Tribolium castaneum: one gene and its partners. The protein of the gene in region 6 binds, or shares a complex with, the protein of the main gene of each other region. Links are inferred from orthologs where the notes say so. Each region holds a gene or a part of one and is shown on either strand. Other genes may lie near its edges.

The links.
Region 1: tex (region 6) and thoc6 share a complex: the UniProt entries of both Homo sapiens proteins name them as parts of the transcription/export (TREX) complex. The link is inferred for Tribolium castaneum from reciprocal best matches to the Homo sapiens genes THOC3 and THOC6.
Region 2: tex (region 6) and Ref1 share a complex: the UniProt entries of both Homo sapiens proteins name them as parts of the transcription/export (TREX) complex. The link is inferred for Tribolium castaneum from reciprocal best matches to the Homo sapiens genes THOC3 and ALYREF.
Region 3: tex (region 6) and thoc5 share a complex: the UniProt entries of both Homo sapiens proteins name them as parts of the transcription/export (TREX) complex. The link is inferred for Tribolium castaneum from reciprocal best matches to the Homo sapiens genes THOC3 and THOC5.
Region 4: tex (region 6) and thoc7 share a complex: the UniProt entries of both Homo sapiens proteins name them as parts of the transcription/export (TREX) complex. The link is inferred for Tribolium castaneum from reciprocal best matches to the Homo sapiens genes THOC3 and THOC7.
Region 5: tex (region 6) and Hpr1 share a complex: the UniProt entries of both Homo sapiens proteins name them as parts of the transcription/export (TREX) complex. The link is inferred for Tribolium castaneum from reciprocal best matches to the Homo sapiens genes THOC3 and THOC1.
Region 7: the proteins of tex (region 6) and tho2 are in contact, whole or in part, in a cryo-EM structure (PDB 7ZNL), measured with the Homo sapiens proteins. The link is inferred for Tribolium castaneum from reciprocal best matches to the Homo sapiens genes THOC3 and THOC2. Residues at the interface, in NP_115737.1 of Homo sapiens: Asp193, Met196, Ile208, Val217, Gln218, Asn221, Ala222, Pro224, Ser225, Ala244, Asp245, Ala246, Leu247, Ser249, Trp251, Asp252, Asp254, Glu255, Leu256, Val257, Cys258, Val259, Cys261, Ser263, Leu265, Asp266, Pro268; in NP_001075019.1 of Homo sapiens: Tyr395, Arg396, Pro401, Lys402, Gly403, Ala404, Lys405, Gly406, Ser407, Pro446, Ile447, Ala450, Arg454, Cys500, Asn501, Ala502, Cys503, Met504, Glu506, Pro563, Arg566, Gln567, Lys570, His573, Tyr603, Leu604, Thr605.

What each region holds. Positions count from the first base shown.
Region 1 is NC_087395.1:25,800,898-25,803,903, reverse strand, and holds thoc6 (THO complex subunit 6), read right to left. Parts: upstream 1,841-3,006; 5' UTR 1,660-1,840; coding exon 1,547-1,659; intron 1,501-1,546; coding exon 1,111-1,500; intron 1,066-1,110; coding exon 903-1,065; intron 854-902; coding exon 533-853; 3' UTR 501-532; downstream 1-500. Other genes in the region: uncharacterized protein LOC103314375, read left to right, coding at 1-219; protein rhomboid, read right to left, coding at 2,221-2,556, 2,604-2,924, 2,977-3,006; DNA oxidative demethylase ALKBH2, read left to right, coding at 2,057-2,072. UniProt on the Homo sapiens protein: Component of the THO subcomplex of the TREX complex which is thought to couple mRNA transcription, processing and nuclear export, and which specifically associates with spliced mRNA and not with unspliced pre-mRNA.
Region 2 is NC_087395.1:19,979,840-19,982,796, reverse strand, and holds Ref1 (THO complex subunit 4), read left to right. Parts: upstream 1-1,217; 5' UTR 1,218-1,329; coding exon 1,330-1,512; intron 1,513-1,617; coding exon 1,618-2,041; intron 2,042-2,116; coding exon 2,117-2,214; 3' UTR 2,215-2,457; downstream 2,458-2,957. UniProt on the Homo sapiens protein: Functions as an mRNA export adapter; component of the transcription/export (TREX) complex which is thought to couple mRNA transcription, processing and nuclear export, and specifically associates with spliced mRNA and not with unspliced pre-mRNA.
Region 3 is NC_087399.1:3,176,526-3,180,673, reverse strand, and holds the start of thoc5 (THO complex subunit 5 homolog), read right to left. Parts: upstream 2,801-4,148; 5' UTR 2,702-2,800; coding exon 2,618-2,701; intron 2,567-2,617; coding exon 2,429-2,566; intron 2,377-2,428; coding exon 2,162-2,376; intron 2,114-2,161; coding exon 2,029-2,113; intron 1,983-2,028; coding exon 1,310-1,982; intron 988-1,309; coding exon 487-987; intron 438-486; coding exon 322-437; intron 274-321; coding exon 110-273; intron 64-109; coding exon 1-63. UniProt on the Homo sapiens protein: Component of the THO subcomplex of the TREX complex which is thought to couple mRNA transcription, processing and nuclear export, and which specifically associates with spliced mRNA and not with unspliced pre-mRNA.
Region 4 is NC_087397.1:9,556,705-9,559,455, reverse strand, and holds thoc7 (THO complex subunit 7 homolog), read right to left. Parts: upstream 1,450-2,751; 5' UTR 1,329-1,449; coding exon 1,292-1,328; intron 1,239-1,291; coding exon 625-1,238; 3' UTR 504-624; downstream 1-503. Other genes in the region: alpha-ketoglutarate-dependent dioxygenase alkB homolog 6, read left to right, coding at 1-503. UniProt on the Homo sapiens protein: Component of the THO subcomplex of the TREX complex which is thought to couple mRNA transcription, processing and nuclear export, and which specifically associates with spliced mRNA and not with unspliced pre-mRNA.
Region 5 is NC_087399.1:4,612,862-4,617,134, reverse strand, and holds Hpr1 (THO complex subunit 1), read left to right. Parts: upstream 1-1,473; 5' UTR 1,474-1,575; coding exon 1,576-1,614; intron 1,615-1,661; coding exon 1,662-2,333; intron 2,334-2,379; coding exon 2,380-2,603; intron 2,604-2,651; coding exon 2,652-3,666; coding exon of another isoform or gene 3,667-3,788; 3' UTR 3,789-3,814; downstream 3,815-4,273. Other genes in the region: rRNA N6-adenosine-methyltransferase ZCCHC4, read right to left, coding at 3,663-3,788, 3,834-4,068, 4,114-4,273. UniProt on the Homo sapiens protein: Component of the THO subcomplex of the TREX complex which is thought to couple mRNA transcription, processing and nuclear export, and which specifically associates with spliced mRNA and not with unspliced pre-mRNA.
Region 6 is NC_087394.1:25,132,906-25,136,069, forward strand, and holds tex (THO complex subunit 3), read left to right. Parts: upstream 1-1,336; 5' UTR 1,337-1,405; intron 1,406-1,456; 5' UTR 1,457-1,527; coding exon 1,528-1,707; intron 1,708-1,759; coding exon 1,760-2,283; intron 2,284-2,336; coding exon 2,337-2,595; 3' UTR 2,596-2,664; downstream 2,665-3,164. UniProt on the Homo sapiens protein: Component of the THO subcomplex of the TREX complex which is thought to couple mRNA transcription, processing and nuclear export, and which specifically associates with spliced mRNA and not with unspliced pre-mRNA.
Region 7 is NC_087402.1:8,544,871-8,549,169, forward strand, and holds the start of tho2 (THO complex subunit 2), read right to left. Parts: upstream 2,801-4,299; 5' UTR 2,708-2,800; coding exon 2,646-2,707; intron 2,464-2,645; coding exon 2,298-2,463; intron 2,249-2,297; coding exon 2,114-2,248; intron 2,063-2,113; coding exon 1,947-2,062; intron 1,420-1,946; coding exon 1,032-1,419; intron 983-1,031; coding exon 663-982; intron 613-662; coding exon 1-612. Other genes in the region: serine palmitoyltransferase 2, read left to right, coding at 2,987-3,223, 3,353-3,406, 3,460-3,513. UniProt on the Homo sapiens protein: Component of the THO subcomplex of the TREX complex which is thought to couple mRNA transcription, processing and nuclear export, and which specifically associates with spliced mRNA and not with unspliced pre-mRNA.

The DNA of each region.
Region 1 (3,006 bases), on a different chromosome or scaffold from region 6:
AGCGCTTTGGCATCCTCAAAACGTGGCAAAATCCAACGACAAACACTCCTAGTCATCAACAGTGACTACTTTGGCACCGAAAAAAATGCCCTTCAGGTGCAGAAAGGCGACGTTGTGGTACTCCAGGGTACCCATGTGCCGGGGTGGTTCTGGGTGCGCAACAAGGAGGGAGAGGAGGGGTTCATACCGGCGGTTATAGCCGGACACGGATTTTTGTAAATAAAAGTTGTACAAATTATTTATTAAAAATTTATTTCAAACAGTTTAAATTGTCTTTTAATACAGTCCTGCCAACTTAAATATGAAATTTGCGATTTCACACAATAATACGCCAATTTGAGCACTCAAACTTGGCCATACTGTAACTTAATTGTTCTTAAAAAAATAATAAGGGTTATAAACGATTTGGGGTCACATTCGAGCGATTTTTGACTCTTTAACGGTACCTTATCCTAACCTAAAGAGCATCAATGACAGCTGTCAAATTCAAATTCTGGACGAATTATTTATGGTTTATTATTTTACTAAAGACTTAATACAGAGATAGTTGCAAATTTTTGTAGATAAAGTTGCTACAAACGTCGATTTTGGGGCTCGACCCCGCAATGCACAAAGTCTGGAAGGGCTCATCCTGATGCACCGCACTGTACGTGGTCACAGGAGACGTCGGAATTTCCGTGATAATGTCCCCGTTAAAACTCATTTGGTAGAATAAATTAGAGCGCCCCCCTGCGAAAATCCTGTCTTGGTAGACCTCCGCCACATGAATCCCTTTATCGTCAATGGGGAACACTGTGGCGATATTCAGGGAGCGCAAGTGCCATAAAGACAGTCGGGGGCCGCCGCCGCACAACTAAAAAATCATTTAAGGGGGGCCACTTCGCCCAAAATTGCTGACATACCAGCCAATCATCGTTAATCCCAACGCCCCCTATCCAGGGCCCCAGCTCCACCCTGGCCACTTTATCCCTACTGTGGGGCTCGATTTTGCTCACTGGGGGGCCTCCTCTCACATCCCATAGCAGCACAAGCCCGTCTTCGCCCCCCGAAACCAGTTTATTGTTACTGAAATGCCATGTGACCAAAGTACAGGTTCCTGTAATCACTTACCAGAAATTGATGCAGTGAACGTAATTCTTGTGCCCTTTAAAACACCGCACTTCTTTTCGTGTCTCGATGTTGAAAACGTAAACATTATTATCGCCACAGGCGGCAAATAATAAATTATTTTCGGGCTCAAACACTAAACAATTAACGTCAGGTTTGTCGAAACTGTCTTTGGAGTTCGGGATTTCAATTGTCCACGAGCAGGAGGGTTTTTTGCTCGTTTTGACGTTCTTCCAGGAGTACCCCAAAATCTCGCCAACTGTCCCCACAACAAGGAACGCTTTCATGGTCAATAAACTGTTGATTTGGACGTCTTCTTTAATCGTGAATGCGTTTTTGGGCAGTTGGTCTTCTTTTGTGATCGAAGATCCTTGGTTTGTTAGCTTGGAAAGGCTGGAACTGGGGTTCAGGGGGCTGCTGGAAGTTACTTAATACTTACTGGAAGACCGAAATTGTGCCGTAAATGTCACCTACGACGAGATAGTTGCCACACGGGGTGAAAGTCTGGCTCAAAACAGTGTTATAGAACGATTTATTCAACTTGTTCACCATTTTGAGGTTAAGAAAAAATAACTTTTTGTGAATTAAACGCACGTTTAATAGGCAATATTACTGTACAAAGTCTGGTTTTATTACCAATTATACGATTACAAAGGGCGCAAACGTGTATTTAACATAAATACAGCCCCAAACATTAAACAATATAACCTCAATCGACTTAATACAGGCAACTTAACATGCAACGCGGTTAAGTTAGTTGCATACCTAACTTTATTTATGTTTTTTTTATGTCATAATTAAACATATTATACTATAAACTCTAAAACAAACGTAAAAAATATACCTTAAAACGTACACATATTTGTATAGATATAAAAAAAGAACGAGAAAACGCAGATTTAAGTGTTAAAAACGTTAAAAAAATCTCAGTTGAGCTAGTGGTGTTGTGATGAGCGTGCAACCAAGTAAGCAGCAGTTTGTTTAATCGTTTATTTTTCACTTTTTTACAAAACCAACGTCTAAAAATAGCCGCAAACATCTATAAGTTGTGTAATTTCACGCTTTACTTTGCTACCGCACATTTATAGCCAAACACTCGTTATAAAAAAAATATCAGCAAAAATAAACATACCGCTTGCGTATGGCATCCTTCGGAGTACATTTTTTAATCTGAACGGTTATTATTACAAGCGAGATCAATAAAATTACGTAAAGTAATAAACCCACCAAAAATAAAACTAATCTCCGTGTGCGTGCAATTGACGGTTTTTGCTTGAAGAGCACTAGACCCAAAAACAGGCCTGCGAGGCCCCCGATCATGTGGGCCCCCCACGATATCAAAGGCTCCTTTTTAAAATTGGCATGTAACACGTTGTAGATAATGTCGAAAATGACGATTATTCCGATACACGCAGATCTGTAGATTTTGTAATTCAAGGTTTCAAAGTTCTGAAAAAAATTACAAAAATGTTGTTTCTCGCTCGCTTTATACCTACTAGAAAAATATCGGAAATGTGCGAAATTAAAAGCGCATACACGCCCCCGGAGGCCCCAATGACCAAGTCGGGGTGAAAACAGGCCGCTCCCAAGACTCCGGTGATTCCCCCGGTCACGTACAAAACAAGAATCCGCACGCTTCCGTGTCGCGCTTCTAAAAAATAGGCGAAAAGCACTTGCATGAAAATATTGAGAGTCAGGTGGATCCAGTCTTCGTGCAAAAGCATGTAGGTGACGAATCGCCAAATTTCGGTCAGTTTGTGCGGTTCGAAGCGGAGCAGTTTTTGGGTTTTTTCATCCGAGGCAGCGTAGAAGATTATCTGGTGAATTACCATAAACATTAGCTAAAAATAATGCAAAAATCTGGTTTACCTCTAAAACACTGACTGACAAAATACCGAA
Region 2 (2,957 bases), on a different chromosome or scaffold from region 6:
CAACCGATCCTTTAAATTATTATGCTGAGATCTTTAATCTCAGTGAATGTATTTTTGTATATAACCCAATAAAACTATAAAATCAAAAATATGTTAGGATCATCTGGTGCTTTACAGTTTTCTCTGTGCATGTGATTTTTTTCAGGATTATTCTACAATTCCTTACAATAAATATTAATTAATTAAAAAAATCAATATAATAATTAATTAACTAAATTTATAGTCTTAGGGACTAGTTACTGTACAAAGCCAAATAAAATTTAATTCAGGATTAAACTTCAGTGGTGGAGAACTTACGGATAAAACGAACTAGTTTTCCGTTCATAACGAACTTTTCACAGAATTTTGAGAAATATGTCGGGGTTGATAGTAAGTATTTAATATAATAGAGAAGTGTTAACTGATGAACAAATTATTAACTAACTAAAAATAAATATTTTTTGTGTTTTGACATCTAATTACTGTGTAATTAACTACTTAATCCAAACTTTTATTATTTTTTGGGATATTAGAGGTTGAAACTTTCACTTCAGCGTCTAAAAATTAATCAGAAACGCAATATCAACTAGGAAATTGGGATTGCGTCTTTTGAGTACTTTTCCCAAAGTTTATATGACTAACAGACGGTGATTTGAGCAAACGAGCGTATGCGAGTTACATAATATACACCCGAGAACTTTAAACGTTTTCGCGTGAGTGTTTGTTTTGTTGGAATTTTTAAATTAAATTAATATTTTTTTATTACATTTTTTAAATTTCTTTTAAATTTAAACGTGTTCACATTTGATTTTTTTTACTTTTAATGGATCAAATAAAGAAAGTCTAACATTACACAATATTTCAATTCTGCCAAAGATTCTTCAAACACTAAAATGTGTTAATGAGTCAATATAAATAAACATCTGTTTTGTATTGACAATATTTTAACATACATTAGGTAGAAGAACAAAATTTCATTTACAAATACCTACCTACATAAACTGGTAGAACAAAGTTTGAAAAAAATTGAATGTATAGGGAACCAATAATACAGCGGTGTTTTTACATTGGTGTAAATAGGTTACCTATTTCATAAACATAAAAATAAGTTTTTATTCTTTGTTTCTGTATTATGCTGAAAATGCAAAAAATTGCCTAATACATGCGGTCGTATTTTTTTTTGGTAAAATCCGGGCAGGTTCCTGTGTTGCCGACAGCGCAGTGACGTGGCGCATGCGCACAGCGTCTGTCGTTCATTTTGTACGCCATTTTGTCGTTGGTTGTGTGCGTTGCCGCCGGGTGTAGAAAAAGTGAATTTCTCAGTCAAATCAGCGTACAAAATCAGTAAAAATGGTCGACACAATTGAAATGAGTTTAGATGAGATAATAAAATCCAAGCCCCGGCGCGGCGGCCGTCGCGGAGGTCGCGGCGGAACCCGCGGGGGTGGCGCGCCAAGACGCGGCACGTTCCGAAGAGCCGGCGGCGTCCAAAGGGGCCGAGGACGCGGAGGAATAACGCGCCAGTACACCCGGGTAATTGTTTCTAACTATGTTTATACTTAAGCTGCCCCGCGATGGAAGCGGCTAGCGTGCATCCAGCCGGAGAGCCGGAATTTACCCCCATCCATGTTTGTTTAGGGAGATGTGAACAGTGCTTGGAAGCACGATCTGTTCGAGGGCTACGGCCCGCGTAAAGTGGCCGCGGCTCGGGCCGTTGTGCAGTCCAATGTGGGCCCCACTAAGCTCATGGTGGGCAATTTAGACTTTGCGGTCTCCGACTCGGATATTCAGGAATTGTTCGCCGAGTTTGGGCCGCTAAAGAGCGCCTCGGTGCACTATGACCGCTCGGGGCGGTCGCTCGGCACCGCTGATGTGATTTTCGAAAGGCGCACCGACGCTATTAAGGCCATGAAGCAGTACAACGGAGTGCCTCTCGACGGACGCGCCATGAACATTCAAATCATCACGTCGGAGATTCCGTCGCCGGTCAGGAGGCCCACGGGAGAGAGGAAGTTCCAAAGCAGAAGAGGGGCTGCACCTGCCAAGGGACGACCTAACAGAGGTACAATTACTTGACCAGCGGCGGCGACGCCTCCAACAGCCGGATTTTTCAACTAAACAAATGTTTGTTTGCCAGGTCGTGGAGGAGGACGAAGTTTCAGAAATCAAAAGAAACAACCGACAGCTGAAGAACTCGACGCTGAATTAGACGCCTACACCAAGGAGATGAAATAAAATAAGTGCTATTAATATCAGAGACGCTCAACGCGCCACTTTTTGTGACTTGTGTTTAGTTCTTTCGTATTTTTATTTTGTATTTTGATTGTAACATCGAGCCTTACATTTTATAAAAAATAACCACTAAAGTACGAGGATTACGTATGCGGTTCGTTTTTTCCACAACTAAATCTAGTGTTAGGCTGTTTTCTCTTGTTAATGTAAATTGTATTGATAGGAATAAATAAGAATTAAGTGTGACTTGTCGTTTCATTAGAAATTTTTTTTATTTATACATAAAACTGCATCAGCCAAATGTATCACATGACGTTAAGACCGAGTTGTATAAAAAATTAATCGCCTTCAATCTTGATTTAAAACCATAATAAATCTTGTAACAGTTGTCGCTAAAGGCACGTTGACACGGATCGATTTTAGTCGTTTATTTCAAGTTGAACAATAAAACTTCAACAAAAATCATCGTCAGAATCTTTGTTGTGTCTTAAGTGGATCAAGTTTTTTACGATGATTTCCATTAAAAATTTTCATCTTTAATTGAACAACTAAAGTGGGTCCGTGAGAACTTGCGTTTAGGGTTTATATTACTAAATATACGACAAAACAAATTACAAAAAGTACATCCAATCGAAGCGAGTGCACTCAACGTAATTTTCATCAATAAAGAATACTAAAAGAAAATAATAATTTATTAAGCAACAGTGTAAGATTAATAATTATAGTAACTGAGCTGTCTTGTGGCT
Region 3 (4,148 bases), on a different chromosome or scaffold from region 6:
CATTGGGTGTAGACCCCAACCCCAATATTCCTGAATTTGAACGGCTTTCTCCTATTTCTGGCGCTGAAAAACCAAAATTACCCCCAAAAAACAAACTCAAAATCCCTACCAAGTCGATTTAATATACATGGTGTTCTGTTGAAACGTCCCAGGGTCCTCCGTTTCCAGATAAATGTCCAGTCCGACACACAATGACATAATCTGGGCCGACAAAAGCCAATTTGCATTTGAAAATTCGTGGTTCCAATCGACATTAATCGACCGTTCCATGTCCTGTAAAACGAGTGAGACCAACCCAAAAACCCAAAATTACCAACAAACCCGAATATTATCATCATTCTGCGAATGTCTAGTCCCGTTATAGTTCAAACAAAGCGCAAAAATTGGTGGAATTGACGGATAATCGTTCTTGATAACAACAAAAGCTTGCAAATTTGCTAAAATACAAAAAAAACACTAATTAATCACGTGACTCACCAAACTTACCTTTATCACGCGTGATTGTCGCTTTATAGAAAATATCATTCGGCGAAATTAACTCAGCTTCTAGCAAACCCTCCGTAAATTTAGCCTCGCAAAAGCTTTGATACGTCCCTGATGACCATTTCGTAAGACTCGAAATCGTGGTTCGCGGCAAATCGACACTAGCCGGCAAAACAGGAATCACATTCCGCTCCAACTCCTCCAATTGTTTCGCCAAGGCATACCGCGACTTTAGGCGCTTTTTTATTGTTTTCATGACCGACTCGACGTTAGTTTGGCTCAGTTGATCCGAACCGGACATTTTATTCAAAAAATCAATGCCGCACATTTTTTGCGCCCACGTGTAGACGTAGCCAAGCTCTGGGACGAGGCTTTGGAAGGACCCCAAGCCGACTTTTTTCAGTTGGTAAGGGGTGCACGGGTTGGGGCTGTCCAGCCCGAAGTCGCCCTCCACCAGCTCCACGAGGACGCTTTCGTTTGATAAGACCTCACGAGCTGCGTTTCCTGTAAGAAAGACACTCGGGGGTCACTAAAAAAAATTTGCATTTTTTCCTCCATTATAGTAAAAAAGTAAGAAAGTATGATTTTCCCTTTAAAAGCGAGAAGAATTTTTTGCTGCTCACGCTCACGGATATTACGTGAGTATGCAAAATTTCAGCATATTCCGATAATAACAGGACATGACTCAATTGTAAATAGAGACGGAAAACAAACCAAGTAAAAAAGGTGTAGTTTATGTTGTTTTTCCTTATCATTCACAAAATACCTGTAACTATCCGTTTTTTTTTGTCTAAAAGAGGATTTTTGTAGATAGTGGGTCAAGTACCTGTAATATTGCTCGGAATATTGACGCTTGAAGATACAGTGACGATTTCCAATTTTGCGTAATAACTTAGTCGAATTTTAATTGAAGGACCGTCTTTAGTAGTGACAGTAACTTGTACAGAAAGCGGGTGAACTTGTAACAACTTGCGTTTTTTCTCCTCAAGTGGATCAACATGTACCGACTTCCGGTGACGCCGTTTCTTCGTTTCGACAATTTCCTCCACCTCCTGTATCTCAGCTTCCGGTTCCATGTCCTCCTCCTCCTCTTCTTCATCCTCTGCCAACTCCAACTCCTTCCATTGACTAGCCTCCTCCTGGTCCCCCATAATCTCCACACTCATCCCCGAGTCGTTCACCTGTCTGTAGGCGTCAATATTGGCATAAAACAAGTAAAGGGGGTTGGGTAGAAGCGAGGCAAGCTTGTGTTCAGCCTGGATCTTGTCAATGTGGAGCCCCAGGTGCTCCTGCACCGGTTTCGTGGCCTCCATGACCGAAGACAAGAGGGGCCCCAATTTATCCAATTTATTGCGACGTTCGGCAATATCCCCCTCTAGTTTTTTCTTCTCCTCTTCAAGTTTTTTGCACATGTCGGCCAAATGAATACGCTGCTGGAGCTCCCACTCGAGGCGCGCGAGCCGCAGCTCGTGCTTCGCCATTTCGTCGGTTTCATCAAACTAAAATTTTTTTTAAAGTTTTTGAAATTAAAAAAATTAAACCAACTTTTTTGAATTTTGTCGTTAAATTTTTCGGCGCTTCGGCGAGGAACTCCTCAACGGGGACCAGCTCGATGTGCTCGTCTTTAGACCTGAAAGAAATTTTTGGGGGGTTTACACAAAAAGGGGGTTTTCGTTACTTGAACTGGAAACATTTGCGATATTCCGACATCAGATGGTTAGCCTCGTACAACAAGTTCTGATATTGTAAATTAATACTGTCCACTTTTTGTTTTTCCGCAGCCAATTGTTCTTTTGGAAAAACCAAACGCACCTTCTCCATGCGGTTCAGTTTTTTCAAAAGCACCAATAATAGACACACTTCGGTGGTTTTTTCCGTAATTTTAGCCCTGACCTACAAAGCACACCCAAAAAATATACAAAAAAGCGACAAAATTCCAATTTACATCAGACCCACTCTTCATTTTCAGTTCACTTATTTCGGCGAATAAATGCCGAATTTCTTTGCACGTGTTGAAGTAAATCTGAGCGTCGGTATCGTTCGGTCGATTGAGGGCCTCTTTCTCCTCAAATTCGACCGATTTCTGCAAAAAAATCAATAAATGTGATAACCAAAATTAGGGAGGCGTAATTACTTTATAAATGTCGATTTCGGCCTCATTGTCGGCACTAGTCCCACTTTTGCGCTTTTTTTTCAAACTACTTGACTCTTTAACCATTTTTTTAAGCAAAAAAGATTATGTAAACAAGCCGACAAAAAATTTGAGGTTAGAAATGCGCAAACTGACAGACAACAGACGCCATTTTGTTTCAGGACACCACATCTTGGTTTAAACGAATTAATTTCTGTGTTTTTAAATCAAAATCCAAACATTGCGACTTATATTATAAATAATTTGGATAATTTCAATTATTAGTTGTTACGTAATCGGATTATGTAACATTTGGGTCGTTATATAATCATTCAGAGTACCGGACTTGTCGTTCGTGTAAAAACATTAAAAAAAATAAAATCGCACTTTTTAATATCAAGACTGTAAATGGTAATCACTATTGTATTAAGGGCGATTTTCGTGATTATTTCACTAAATATGGGTGAATTGTGAATGGCGCGAAATTTGAACGCGTTTTTACCTGCTTTAATTAAACATCGCGCACTTCTTGCCGCTTTCCGCCCGAATTAAAGCAATTATCGGTCCCCGAATAATTACTTGGCCCAATAAACAGGAGCTATTCTAATCGTGTAAACTTCGTAATTTAATAGTTTTTTGTAGTATTTTTCAATCTCCTTCCAAGTGTTGTTTACACGCGAGCGCTCGTAAAATTCTCCAGGTATAAAATCGAGCAGTGTTAAGATAGGACTTGGATGTTCTTGACTACTCATCCATTTTGCTAAGGACCAGGTTTGCAGTGGCACGTTTCTCTTGTATTGGTTATCGAGGATGTGGACGGGTTCTCAAGATGATAAAAAAGGTGTCGCGTCAGAACTACTACATAGGATCACACGTAGGAAATATTGCTGGACGACGATAAAATTTTATCGCCTGTCCGAAAACACATTATACAAGAGAACGAAAAGCTTTCCGCACGACTTTACGCGAATTAGTTCACCGAGGTATTTCTTAATTTTCTAGACAGACGGTTTATGCCGCAAAAAGAAAACGCCGACTTTAAAACGTTCTGAGACAATTGGGACAAAGTAAAATACGGCATGGGGATTTATTCGCCATTTGAATGCGCCGCCAGAAGTGGCTCCATCTAGCTTTGATGTATTTCCCCCAAAAAATATAAATTTGCAAGCTTTGTTATTAAAAATAAAAAAATTAGATTAATTATTTCGTAATTGTTTCGAGGCATAAAACACCGCTAAACGTTATTAAAACTGCGCAAACATAAATGAAGTGTTTTTGTGTTTTGCTTTGAATTTCATTTAGGTAAACAGTTTTGTTGCCAAACTCGTTACGCTCTTAACACTCCACTATTTTAATAAAAGTTTTACCGCACTATATTCGATTATAAACTGATATTTTCAAGAGGATTTTAAAAATGATTAAATGCGAAAATTTACTATATAATTCGTCACTGAATCCTGTTTTTTTACAGTGGAAAACCAAGGGATATTTTAAAAAAAAAAACGATTTTTATTGAAAAATAAGTTGAAAAAAT
Region 4 (2,751 bases), on a different chromosome or scaffold from region 6:
GACTGCAAGACTACGGGGGCGTGCCCCACGAGAAAGGCATGATTCCGGAAGCAATACCAAACTGGTTGACGAAATACATGGAAAAAGTCGCTCAATTGAACGTTTTTGAGGGAAACAAACCGAATCAAGTATTAATCAACGAATATCTTCCCGGCCAAGGCATAATGCCACACACTGATGGGCCACTGTTTTATCCCACTATTGCCACCATTTCGTGTGGCTCTCATACAGTATTAGAGTTTTTAGAAAATAACGAAAGTCGTGCTAAAGTTTGCCAATTACTTCTCGAAAGGTGTAGTCTAGTTGTAATTAAAGACGACATGTACGCTAAATACCTCCATTCCATTAGAGAAATTGAAACTGATGTTATTGATGAAGGCTGTGCAAATTTACTAAATTGTGAGAAACAATACGCCATTGGCGATAAAGTCAAAAGAGACACGAGAGTTTCTCTAACCATTAGAAATGTGACTAAGGTGCTTAAAATAAAACTATTCAAATAATTTTTGTACTTGCTTTTATTCGCCTAAAATAACATAGCTGATGACATGTAACCATGGTAACTGTCAGATTTTCTAACATAAATTAAGTAACCGTGGTAATTGTCACTTTTACCAACTTAAATTATTCAGACATGGGTTCAGGGCCTGTGCTGTCCGCCACATCCTCAAGTAGACTGTCGTTATGGCAATATTCGTTTGACTCCTCCAACATTGCTTGTAATTTGCTGGCGCTGGACACCAGCACGTGAAATTGTTTTCTCCTCATGTCCAGTTTCTGCTCCAGCAGCTCCTTTTCCTTGTGCAACTCTTTCAGTTCCGCTTGTAAGTTCGAAAGGCGTTCGTTTGTTTCCTTGCGTGCTGGCTGTTCGGCAATACTTTGTGCCAACAAATCGTACATCATGTGGTTTTGTTTCCATATTTTGGCTTGTACTAAGTTGTCTTTGTTTTGTTTGATTGAGTCTTTTACTTCGCTGATTTGCTGTTCAAATTTGTCGTAAATTTTTTTGTAGTTTTCAAGCTGACGCGATGTGGTTCTTGTGAGGAGTTGGGATCTCCTGACTGAGTATTCACAAAGGCTTAATTGTGCTAGTAGTTTGTCGTGGGTTGCTTGGTTCTCTAAGGGGGAGTCTTCGGTGGAATTTGCCCATTTTCGAAGAGTTTTTGCTATTACGTTGAGCCTGCGATCGTCGCCGGTTCCGTCACCGTCTATGAGTAACTTTCTTTTGATAATGTCCTCTAGAAGTTTTACTGTTTGGACACACTAGTAATTTTATAAGGGAAGTATTTACCATCCGACATGGTACCACGTTTGTCCTTTTGTTTCATTAAGGCGGATTTGTTTGCACTGTGGACGCCGAAAAATTTGTATTTTTTGAGGTTATGACACAAATTGTCAAATGTTGGCACTTGCCAACAGTTGCATCGAAAGTCTAAACCAAAAATTACTAGAAATAGCAATTAGAGGACATGTTGAGATAAGTGTTTTAATGGTTGCATATAACAAAAGCTTATAAAGCGTAAATCATTTAAAAATATGACTATAATTTATTTTATTAAATAATACGTATTTTGGTGATTTTGTCATCGGCTACGAATGTTTTCACTATTTTAAAACACGCTTTCCATAGCAACGTGTTTTAAATTTAAACAAAAACAAAAAATTTTGAATAATAATTTATGCAAAAACGCTTAAAGTTCTCAGGTGTCTAGGTGTCTCGCATACGCTCGTTGCATAACGACAGCCCTCGAACTTTAAGCTTCTAAAGTACCAACTTTAGTCCCGGAAATACAAAAAAGCAAATTTTTGTGTCGTTTTTTGCTCCTGTAAGCAATTTTTTGTGCATTTTTTTTGTCGCAACCTATTTGTTTTGAGTTGTTTTTGCTCCTGAAAGCTTTTTTTGTGCAATTTTTTGCTCCCGCAAGCTATTTTTTGGCCGTTTTTGTAAACACAATAATACCTCAAAAAATTCAACAAAAAATAAACTATGTATTAAAGATTTTTACATTTTAAGTGAATCTGCTCCAGTTTTTGCTACCACAAGTTATTTCTTGTGCTATTTTCTGTTTTCACAAAAAAGCAAAAAGTTTCTAATTTCAATTTTAATGATGTTTGTTATTTGGGTAATTTATTTATTATTATTTTGGATAGACATATTTCAAAATTTTTTATCGCTATTAGAGTATTTCATACGCGATGTGCATTTGACAAAAAACAGAAAGGTCTAGAAAGGTCATCACAATTTAAATTCAAAACAAAAAAATAAGATGAATTTTCGGTAAATCTTACAATAAACAGTCTAAATAGTTTTTACTTTTTAGACACGTAACTCGTAGTTTCATATTTAATTAAGCTTTAAAATATTGTTTTATTTATATTTTATCAATTATATCAAACTTGAAGCATTGCAAGATATTTAATATCTGGTTTCTATCGGTACAGGTACTAACGGAATGATCACCTGATGATTATATTTACTCTAGGTGATTTCACGTGTCTAATGAGAAAAAATTAATAAAGGGTAAAGTACACCAAAGTAAACATGACTGATAACGGTGTACTTTCCTTGTTTATTATTATTTTATTACTACTTGATTCATTATTTAAATCACATTTTTAATAAACGTGGATACTTTAGTTATCAATAAATTAAATCCCGTAATCATATTTTCAAAAATCCGTCGAAAATTATGATCTTAGCAGTTCAAAGTTCACTTTTTTCTTATTTTGTCGACGAATCTCCAATTACTC
Region 5 (4,273 bases), on a different chromosome or scaffold from region 6:
GAAACCAAAAAAATGTTTATTTGCATTAAATTTTGAGCAGCCACTTTCATTCATTGAAATTAAAGACAAAATTATTACGTGGCAATTAATTATTTGAGTGTTTTATTTTATTTATAGTTACTGTATTTAAAATGTGTCACTCAAAATATCACTTTTCAACACCGCATTTAAAGATTTTAATTGCAATTAAGTTTTATGAAATTATTGGTTTGAGAAATAAATAAATACGACACAGCAATAAAATACACCTACCTTCATATCGCTTCCACGTTGGCTACCGTTTGTAGCATTAAAAAAAAATAATAATAATATTGAAACCAAAAAAATGTTTATTTGCATTAAATTTTGAGCAAGCCACTTTCATTCATTGAAATTAAAGACAAAATTATTACGTGGCAATTAATTATTTGAGTGTTTGATTATAATTTTATTTACTGTATTTAAAATGTGTCACTCAAACGCGATCACTAGCCACCGAATTGAAAATTTAAACCGGAAAATTTAGATTTGCTTGAACACACGTCCGTTCGCGACAACGGCAAGTAACAAACTGAATAAATTGAACGAAACCGCACAATACACAATAATTTAAATAAACCGACTCACCTCGCTTCGCCTCGCCTCCCGCTCCCGCTCCCGATCTGACCCGTACCACTGCTCGCTGTCGACTGAACCGCCCTCGCCGCCTGCGCCGCACACCTAACCTCGGATGTGACGTCATCACACGTCTAAAACAGGTCATAACCAGAAACATTCACTGTCCAAATCCGTCAAATTTAGAAACATTCATACACAGAATTATTCAAAATAGAACAGTATTGATCTAGAAAAATTAATTATGACAAATGTATTTGTCTATAAACGTCTAAAATTATAAAAGTTTCGCATGCAGTTAATGGAAAAATAAAAATGCATGTTTATATTTAAACAGAAACTGGCAATGTGAAATTTTAGTGCGAAAATTAGTGGTAGAGCTCGGAAACTCTGTAAACGACCACGATAGGCGGAGCCAATGCGTACTTCATCGAGTGAGGAGATTGAGCAGTGGCGTAGCAAAAAACCATTCTATGATCAAGAAGGGTTTGAGATTCATAATTTGTAGTAGTTAAAATTTCCTCTATTCAATAATTGCAAGATGAAATAGTAAAAATCATATCTAATGCTAATACACGTTGATTTCCTAGAAATACAAAGCAGAGAGGTCGAATAAATAAAAATACACAATGAGTAAAGAGTAAAAACGCGTTTATTGCAAAAAATGTTTCTACTGGTATCTTTACTATAACTGGTAATATTGAAATGTTAAACTTTAAGACGAATTCCCTACACATGTAAGTACACGCCACGCCACTGTTTTCTGCCAACACCCCTAATTTAAAGATTGGACTCGTCCGAGACGAGTTTTCGTATCTGCGCACTCCTACCACCGTGGACGATCTGTCATTTCGCGGACTCTAACATTATTTTTGACCTTTGACAGTTGTTTACAAGACGATTCCGGTCGCTTATTCAAGTATTTCACACGAAATTGAGCGTTTTTCACGTTGGGGGCCCTCCAAGCGTTGCATTTAAGCAATGGGGGGCAAATTCGAGTCGTTACGGGTCGAATACCAGGTGGGCCCCGACATAACCTCAAACGCCACTTCTAACCCGGTTTTTAGGACGTTTTACGCAAATCTTTCAAGACCAAAACCACCGATTTGATCGAAACTAAAGCCAAACACTTGTCGAAGTCCGCCATCGACCTTAAGGCCCCTCTGGACCAGGCGTTCCGCGACGTCTTACTCGAACTCCTTGAAAAGGAAGTCAACGTCTCAGTCTTACGCGAGTTGGTCGATTTTAGCGTCCTAACATGTCGCAAGGAACTGAGCAACCCCACAATGCCAGTGATGCTCCTTTCGGACATTTTTGACGCCTTAACGCTGGACGCCTGTCAGGAAATGTTCCTCTACGTAGAGAACAATGTCGAAGTGTGGAAAGAGAACTTGTTTTTCAGTTGTTGCAAAAATAATTTACTCAGGTTGTGTAACGACTTATTGAGGCGGTTATCTCGGTCCACGGCGACCGTTTTTTGCGGCCGAATTCTCCTCTTTTTGGCCAAGTTTTTCCCGTTTTCTGAACGTTCAGGTTTGAATATTGTGAGCGAATTTAATTTGGAAAACACGACAGAGTATGGCACGGACTCGAGCCAGGAAAAGGGGGGCGACGTTGACGGCGACGAAAAGAAAAACGTGATCGATTTCACGTTTTATTGCAAGTTTTGGTCGCTCCAGGATTTTTTCCGGAACCCCAACCAGTTGTACACTAAAGTGCAATGGAAACTGTTTTGCACCGTAATTATTTTTGCGCATTTTAACCGATTTTTATTATTTTTTTTAGTACGCCACGAGTGTCTTTAACACGTTCCAAGGCCTCAAGCTTGAACACGTGGAAAATAACGGGAGCTATTGTGACGAAAGTAAAAATAAAATGTACTTTTCCAAGTACCTGACGAGCCAAAAATTGCTCGACTTGCAACTGTACGACGTCAATTTTCGGCGCGCCGTCCTGTTGCAGTTTTTAATTTTATTCCAGTACCTTTCATCATCCGTAAAATTTAAATCGTGAGTCGGTTTCTTTAAACTAGACGCACCTTTAATTTATTTTTTTAGCGAAAGTTTCGAGTTAAAGTCGGACCAAAAAGAGTGGATCCAATCAAGCACCGAAAAAGTCTACAGTTTGTTACGCGAGACTCCTCCAGACGGTAAACGATTTGCCGAAATCGCCTCAAATATTCTAAGTCGGGAGGAGTATTGGAACGCTTGGAAGAACGACGGTTGTCCCGAACTGAAAAAATCGGTGGTTCCCACGGAAAGCCCCGACAAGCGCCGAACCGAAGAGCGCCCTCTCTTAGGCGACATCATTAAACAGGCCTCCAGTGAGGGCAAATACTACATGGGAAGCACCGAACTGACCAAACTGTGGAACCTATGCCCCGATAACTTGGAGGCTTGTAAAGGCCGAGAGCGCGATTTTCTCCCCACACTTGAGGATTATTTCGCCGATGCCATCGCCCAAATCGAGTCACCTGGCGCAGTCAAAGACGAAGACAATTTACTGAAAGATGGGAATTACGGGTGGCGGGCTTTGAGACTCTTGGCTAAGCGCAGCCCCCACTTTTTCACCTACAGTACTGTGATTATGAACCCCCTGTCTTCGTATTTGGAGATGATGGTCAAGAAAATAGCGCATGATAAGCCAGGTCGCGTGACCGAAAATTCGCAAGAGTCGCAACAAAACGACGCCGAGGAAGAAAATTTGTTTAAGGACACGCAAGTTGATGAAAACACCGAAGACATCAAACCGTCCGAAACGGAGGAATTTATGGACGATAAGAACGCGCGAGTCGAGCATAAATTAAACCCGAACCAGTTGCAACTCTTCAGCGAGAAAGTGGCCCCCAATTGGAAAAAACTAGCCAGCAAGTTGGGCTTCAAAACTGACGAAATCCAGTTCTTCAGTATGGAAAATGAGAAAGAGGTGGACCAGGCCCGTAATATGCTACAACTGTGGTTCGATGACGACGAAGATGCCACTTTGGACAACTTCTTGTACATTTTGGAAGGGTTGGAGATGGAGGAGGCGGCGGAAATTGTCCGAAATGAAATCAATTCGATGGATTCCTAACTGTATTTAACTCGTTTCGCCCTATTTTTACTTTTCAATTTGCGTTTCATATGTAATTGTTTGTGATCAACCTTGGGACAGTCCCGTTTTTTGTGCCCCGGTTGTTTACAGTGGAAACAATCCTTTAATAAAATTATTAAACCTTGAATTGGGAGTTTGAGACTGACCTGAGTAAAGACCAAGTCGCCGCATTTGTGGTCCGGTTGGCAGCACCGACCACATTTTTCGCAGTGCTGCCAACTCGGTTTAACGCACCTTGCACACATGGGACAGTGGGTGTACGTCCGGCCGTCTTTCGAGGTGCATTTCTGGCAAATGGGGCAGTGTTTGTTTTCGTTTGAAACCCATTTGTTGCACTCTTGGCAAAATTTGTAGCCTTCATTCGCCGGAAGGACTATTTTACTACAATTTTTTGTCCCGAAAAGTTCGTAAAAATCGTCGGCTTACCTCGGGTCCACGTTCGTGAAAATTCGGACGGGTGACCCAAATTTCCGCGCCTTAGCGCCGTCTTGAAACAAAGGATGGTTGTCATAGTCGACTTTATAATCGAGCATGGAATAGTCGGGGAGGCTGTTTAGTATTTGCGGTTCCATAAAGTAGGGGAATA
Region 6 (3,164 bases):
GGAAGTGTCTGGGCAAACACACATGCCCAACCTGCAAAGAGTACGCCTCAGCGATGGATGAACTTGACGCTTCTACACTTTTCACGCACTTCAAGGGACACACAGAAAAATACGGTGGCACGGGTACTACTTTTGGAAAACTTTTAATGCCTGCAAAACCTTTTGTAGATTTCGTCGAGACATTGGAAAAGGCCCTGATGAAAAACATTCGTTGGATTGCCTGCACAGCGAATGTCCAAGATCAACTCCTTCAGGTTCTGAAAGAAGTTCAGTTTTCACACCCGTGCAGTAATTTTCCTGTTGAATATTTGTTAAGACTTTTTGGCAGGATGCGATGTTATTACATCCTCAAATATGCCAACAGGAACTTTACAGACTCGTCGGTGAAAAATCGAAAACTGATCATTCTTTCACATCGTTGAACACAGAGAGAAGACCATTTTTACAGTTTTTAATGATAAGTATTGGTATAATTTGTGTACGTAATCATTGTTTCTTTATTTTTAGTGTAGTCGGAAAAGAATGGAGTGGAAAACCAACACCAAAGACAAGTTTTCATACATTTAACATTTTTATATTACCTAATTCAAAAATTTGAGATCAACAAAGGCGAGATAGAATTTCAGTTTTTTAAAGATAAGTATTAAGTCTAATTTTTTTACACACCGGTATTATTTATTCATTTTTAGCAGAAAGCAGCAGAAAACAACAGCAATGAACCAGATTCATCTACAACATAAAATCGTAACTCCAAAAAGATAAGTTTTCGTTCTACTTACACTTTTATGTTTAATTATAAAAATTTCAGGTCAACAAGTTACAGTTTTTGTTATTAGACCTTTCCTTCATTAAAGATGAGTATTCATTCGTAACACTTTTTTACATAATCAATGTTCCTTTTTAGAAAGGCGATCAAATTAAAGCTAGGGAATACAATGAAAACAGTTTCGACCATCAAAATTGTGATCAAATTTAAGATGGACTCAATTTTACCATATTTGTACTGGAAATTGTTTTAAACGCAACAGAGTTCATTTTCTTTGTTCTAGTAATGTAATTAAACACTTATAACACACTTTGTAATAATAATAATATAACAATTTTAAGGTTACGTAATAGATTTTACTATCATAGTAAACACGTAGTAAAAATTTAGGGGAATGAGTTGGCAATACTGATTAGTACCAACAATTTCACCAGAAAGGCGACTCCAGAATCATTCATAAATACAGCTTTGCTGGAAGCCGCCAATCACATTCGACCACCGAGGTCATTGCGTCGCCATCTGCAATTTCATTCATGGATAGACGAGTGTCACATCTGCTAGTGATCTGTGGTTTTACTATGTGTATTGTTGGTTGTCTAACCACCAATTTTAAGGTTATGTTGTGTTTTGTTTTTACCGGTGATTATAAATTTCTCAATTTTAATTATTTAAACCATTTTGCTAATACAGATTTAAATAATTACAATGGTTTGTGACCACTAGAGATACGCTTTTAATAATTCCAAGACCTATATCGAAACATGTATCAAGACAAAATTGAGGAGCTCCAAAACTACTTTAAGAGCCACTGTAAAATAAAAGAGTATTCGGGGCACTCTTCCAAAGTCCATTCTGTTGGTTGGAGTTGCGATGGTAAACGTCTGGCATCTGGTTCTTTCGATAAATCCGTCTGTATCTACACTTTGGACAGAGATCGTTTGGTAGAGTCCCTAACTTGGATAAAAATTCAAAATTTGCATTGACAATTTTCAGAATAAGGAAATAACATTCAAGGGACACGGTGGTTCAGTGGACCAACTCTGTTGGCACCAGTCTCACCCAGACTTATTAAGTACAGCAAGTGGTGATAAGTCTGTTAGAATTTGGGACACTCGAGTCCAGAAATGTGTTGCCACAATCAATACAAAAGGGGAGAATATCAACATTACGTGGTCGCCTAACGGCAACGCGATCGCAGTCGGGAACAAGGAAGATTTGGTCACTTTTATCGACGCCAGGACGCACAAAATCGAAGCTGAAGAACAGTTCAATTTTGAAGTGAACGAAATCTCATGGAATAACACAAGCGACTTGTTCTTTCTAACGAACGGACAAGGCTGTGTCCACATTTTGAGCTATCCCGAACTAAAAAGGCAACACATTTTGAAGGCGCATCCAGGGACTTGTATTTGTATAGAGTTTGACCCTACGGGGAAATACTTTGCAACGGGTAGTGCCGATGCTTTGGTTTCCTTGTGGGATATTAACGAGTTGGCGTGTCAGAGAGTGTTTACAAGGTGGAGAAACCGCTCTTTTGCAACCTTTGTCGGTAAATCTTACTTTATTGTAGAATGGATTGGCCCGTGAGGACGATTTCGTTTAGTTACGACGGTCAGTTGCTAGCTTCAGCTTCAGAAGATTTAATCATAGATATTGGATTTGTTGAAACTGGTGATAAGATTGCGGATATTTCGGTAGAAGCGGCTACTTTTACGGTAGCTTGGCACCCCTCAATGTACTTTTTGGCGTACGCTTGTGACGATAAGGATGCGTATGATAGGAAACGGGACGCTGGGAGTTTGAAAGTTTGGGGGTTTCCGTCTGACTGAAACTATGTGTTTCAAAATATTCATTATTTTGTAATGTGCATTTCAAATAAATTACTTCAATAAAAATAATAGGTTGTTTAGGTACAATTTTCCTTGACGAAAAAGGGTTTGCGTCTTATTTAAGGCAAAGGGAGACGTCGTAGTGTGTTTCTAAGTCAACAGATGGTGCGGACTTTATTTTTCTATTATCCTCTTATCTTTTCACATCATTCGAACAAAGAATACAGAGTTGTACATAGAATCTAAAGAACCTTAATAAAATTTGCACCAACGAAATACTTTTTTATTTTTTTAAATTTATTTAAAAAAAGACCATAAATAAGGCGTAAGAAAATGACTGACCGAATTATCGGCTATGAAGAGGTGGCAATAGTATTGAATTTTTTAATCCAGTTCATTTAATAAATACTGTATCCATATATTCAGTACTTAGTAGAATTTTGCAACAACGCATTTGCATTTTTTTTTTTAGTTTTTACTTATTAAATAGTTTTCTGCAGCCTACTTTACAAATCTTTATTATCTTGTCACATTTTTGGGTAATGACAAAGCAACAATTAAAAATTACT
Region 7 (4,299 bases), on a different chromosome or scaffold from region 6:
AAAGAGTCGACCACTGGGTGAATCAAATTGCTATAAACTTGAATTTGGAGTAAAATGTAATCGAACAGAAATCCCGGTGAACAGTGGGTGAGTTTGCCAATGAGGCGGCCTACAGGTTTGATGTTTTCCTTACTGACTCGTTTCATGATATTTTTGATTTGTTTTTCGGAATCTCCGCGCTTTCGTAACAAGTCGGGGTATAAAGAATACGTCTCGTTTTTCCACCGGCTGTAAAGACAGTACCTATTCTGATATGGGTAGAGTTTGAGGACCGTCCACACTTCCTCTGCGATGCAACAATTGCAATCCATGTACGAGAGTGACGACAGTATTGTCGTGTCCAACAAAGTCAAAATATCGTAATATAACGTATCACCAGACGGACAAGGCGATTTTGACGACTCTACTCCATAGGAATTTAACGCCGCTTTGGAAATTCTTATCACTTTGTACATCAAAACGGGATCAAAACGGAGCGAAGCTCCTAAAGTAATCAACATAGGAATGGCATGATCTCGAAGTTCCAAAAATGAGGTTGCTTGTTTCGGGCTGAGGGGATTTTCATGGCGCGGGATAGGTTTTCCCTTGATTTTTGGTCCCAACTTACAAAATCTATAACAACCAATGTGGAAACCTCACAGCTAACCCTACACTTAACTTACTCTCTATAAACAGGTTCAACGATGTAATGCAACAATTTGCACAGTGCTAACGCGATCGGTTGGAATGACAGTGCGTAGTGATCAGGCAGACGATTTATCAAATTTTTCGCATTGTTCCAATCACCGACTGAAAGCAACGCCTCGCAAAGCCCCAACTTTTGGTTCGCGTTAAATTTTTCCATGAGATTTTCCGGCTCTTCGGGCGTTTCTTCCTTCTCCTTATTATTTATCGAGATCACTTGTAGCTTACGCACGTATTCTTTTGCATCTTTCATCGCTTTATCACACTCTTTAAACATGATTTTATCCTCAGGTGTTAACTATAAATCAACCATGAGCCAACAAGTCTTGAAAAAATCGTTTCATTACCCAAAGATAAATGTCGTCCAGTGATATAATGTTATGTTGTAACAACTGCGCCGTTAATACGTATAGAGATCGAGGAACATTTGTTTCGCTACTTCGCAAAAAAGTGAATTTCGATGCTAGAACTTCACTCACGATTTTCGGGTCTTTCATATACGAGCATATTAGAGGGACGAAAATTCGCGCGTCTTTTGGTTTATTCTCAAAACTCTCCAGAATTATATCAAGGACTCGGTTTGGGTCGAGGTTGAAGCAACCAATTAATGATTGAACTATGTCTAGGACGTCCTCATGACTGGTATTTTCGCCAAACTCTTGGTTCAATTCCGTTTGTAATTTTGCGAAACCCTCACATTCCTCGCGAAATAAGTTAAATTTGCGCTGTTTGTAGCTAAAAATAAAATTCACTTATAGGTGATTTTTTTGTAAATGTACCGTTTTTGAGAAAAATAATAAAATGTGTTAATATGTAGTCGATAACAGCGCAGACATCGCATTATAATATTTGCACTTATTACTCGTATTTGTCGTAATTTAATGTAAATTGTTTTCGTAGAATTTATTACTAGTCCAACTTGACAAATCATAAATTAAACTAAAATTTACGATAGATAATATAAAGACAAATTTTTAATCAAAGTGTCATTTTTTTTTAAATGTGTTATGTAATTGCAGTGCCAAACTCATTATAACATTGTGTAATAAAAATATATAAACTATCTTTTCTTTAACAATGAACAATCACCTATTAAACTTTTGTTTTTTTGTAACTTGTTAGCATCATCCAAAATCTCAAATATTTCTCTTATTTGAGACAGTCTTAATGCACTTGCTCTAGCACGTCATTGGAAAACTAATTTTGTGCTCCAAAATTAATTTTCCCTACGTTGTGCGGTTCAAACTTAGAATTATACTTACTATAGTTTTGTCTTCACTTTAATAAACTTTGAATAAAACGTTTTGTTTTTCAAGATGCCAACTTCTTGTAGCGTGTCTATTTCTAACCGTTCCTTCAACAATTGGTCTGAAAGCAACTAAATTTTCTGAAAATTAGATCAGCTTCTAACATTTGGCTAAGACGTTACCTTTTCACATTCTTTTATGATAAAACACAAATTGTTCCTTTCTTTTGAATCGTCGTTACTGCTATCAGGTATGCAAGAAGAGTCTGTGATACTTAAAACGTCTAAAATTACCGAAGGAACATCAGGATGTAAAGACTGCAAAAAAAACTTGAGTTTTTGTGACTCTTGACTACAACAAGCTTACAACAAGCTCCTGGAGCGTTGAAACAACAGCCTCCACTTTCAACTGCCCTTTGAGTCCTTTGTCAATCAACATATTTATGTTGGTTATGAGACTTGAGACTCTCCCATTTTTGTCAAAAACCGGGGACTTGGTGTCATCTTTCAACAACTGCATGCATGTTTTAACACTGAAATAAGCAGGAACCTTAGCGTTGACCACTCATTATAGAATTAAACGCAAAATCAACAATACACAAACGTGTGGACATTGACTCGTGTTTGCAATTCCCACACGTATTAACACACGAAACGGATGCAAAATTCGAGCAAATGAACCTAACCACATTATTTCAGTGAAATGTGCACTTACAACTCTGTTTTTCCCGATTTTTCCCAACTTTTCCAAACATCGTTACTAACAACACCTGCCATTTTTAGCAACCAAGCGTCATTTTTCCCAACATGGGCGCCCACGCGTTGCCAACAGCGAACCAAAGACCCCAGATTTTCGAAACTTGGAGCAAAAAGCACCAAATTTTGGGCAAAATGTCAAGCTTTCGGAATTGTGGTTAAGAACAATCAAATTTTTTTTGTAGAGAATTATGTAGTAATTGCGTTTTTTGCTTGCGGTTTTACGTCCGAGTGGATGTAGTTTACGGTTGTTCAGTTTCTGTTATTTGGGGAAAATTCGGAAAGACCGCAAGTTTTTGAATGCAAGGTTGTCTCACGGTATCACGCGAGTCGCAATCAACCAACAAAAAATTTGCGTTTGTAAAATGTGGACGCATGCGTCCTCAAATCCTCAGTATAGAAGCGAGAATGGAAGAGGGTGCAGGTGATGCTGTGACAGAGCTACTAAGTGGGGTAGATTTCGAAAATACCAAACACCAAAAGGTCATTTCGAACGGATACGGCCCCTACTCCGGAGGCTACGCAAATGGATATACGGTGAATAATTATTTGTGGATACTCGGCACGTTTTCCGGCTTTTTGGGTGGCTCATCAAGCTATTAACATTTCATTAGTGCTGACCAAATGAAATTGATCCTTATTATTAATAATTTATTATCCTTGCAGTGCATCAATAAGAGGAACGTGTACAGAGGATCCGAGCAGAATGGACATGTGCTGGTAATTAAACACTGGCCTACATTTTTCTAAATCTCACTGTAATTATTTTGCAGGCATCGTCTGACGAGGAATGCACCGCCAAAAACATGAAGGGACCAATAAAAAACGTGAGTCTAATTTTGACGCCGTCGAAATTATTTATTGCTACTCGCGGCAGTGTTTATTTTCCTCAAAAAATTCCAACAACGCAACGCAATATCATTTAAATTTTTTTCAAATTTTCTGAGAACGCGATGAGGCGTCCTTATCTGCAGATTAAGTAACACGAATTCTTAGATAAGGACGGGACAAATATTACAGCATATACTCATTTACTTTCACCTTCGTAGTACAATCCAAGCATTTATTTTCAATAAACCAAATTGTTTATTCTTGATTAGAATATCTATTAGCTGCATAAACATAATCTCTACCATGTGTTTACAACGTATAAACACGTAAAATTCGATAATTGTTAGTTTTCCAGTAGTTCAGGCCATGAGACGGCTAATAACACACATTAAACCTTGTCGTTAACACTAAAGCTTTTATTTTGTGAGATAATTCTTTCAACATGTGCACACAGATTCATTATTTGACCCAGAAAAGCGCTCGGAAAGTTTGAATCTGCATGCGCCAGTAGTTAAACATTCCTCCTTGAGATCAACAAATAATTCTATTTAACGAGGTGCATACAGTTTATTTCCTGTACGTGTAAATATTTACGCACGGCACTATCACTCAAGATTGTACTTTTTAATTTATTAATTTTAACAGCTCTGTTTTGAAATTAATAATGTAATAATAAAGTCAAGGTTTTGAAGGTGGCGAAAATACTCGTTATTTTTTATTTTAATTATGCCTGGTTGGTAACACCAAGTTTGATAACGGAAGGAACTATCATTTCACTTGTG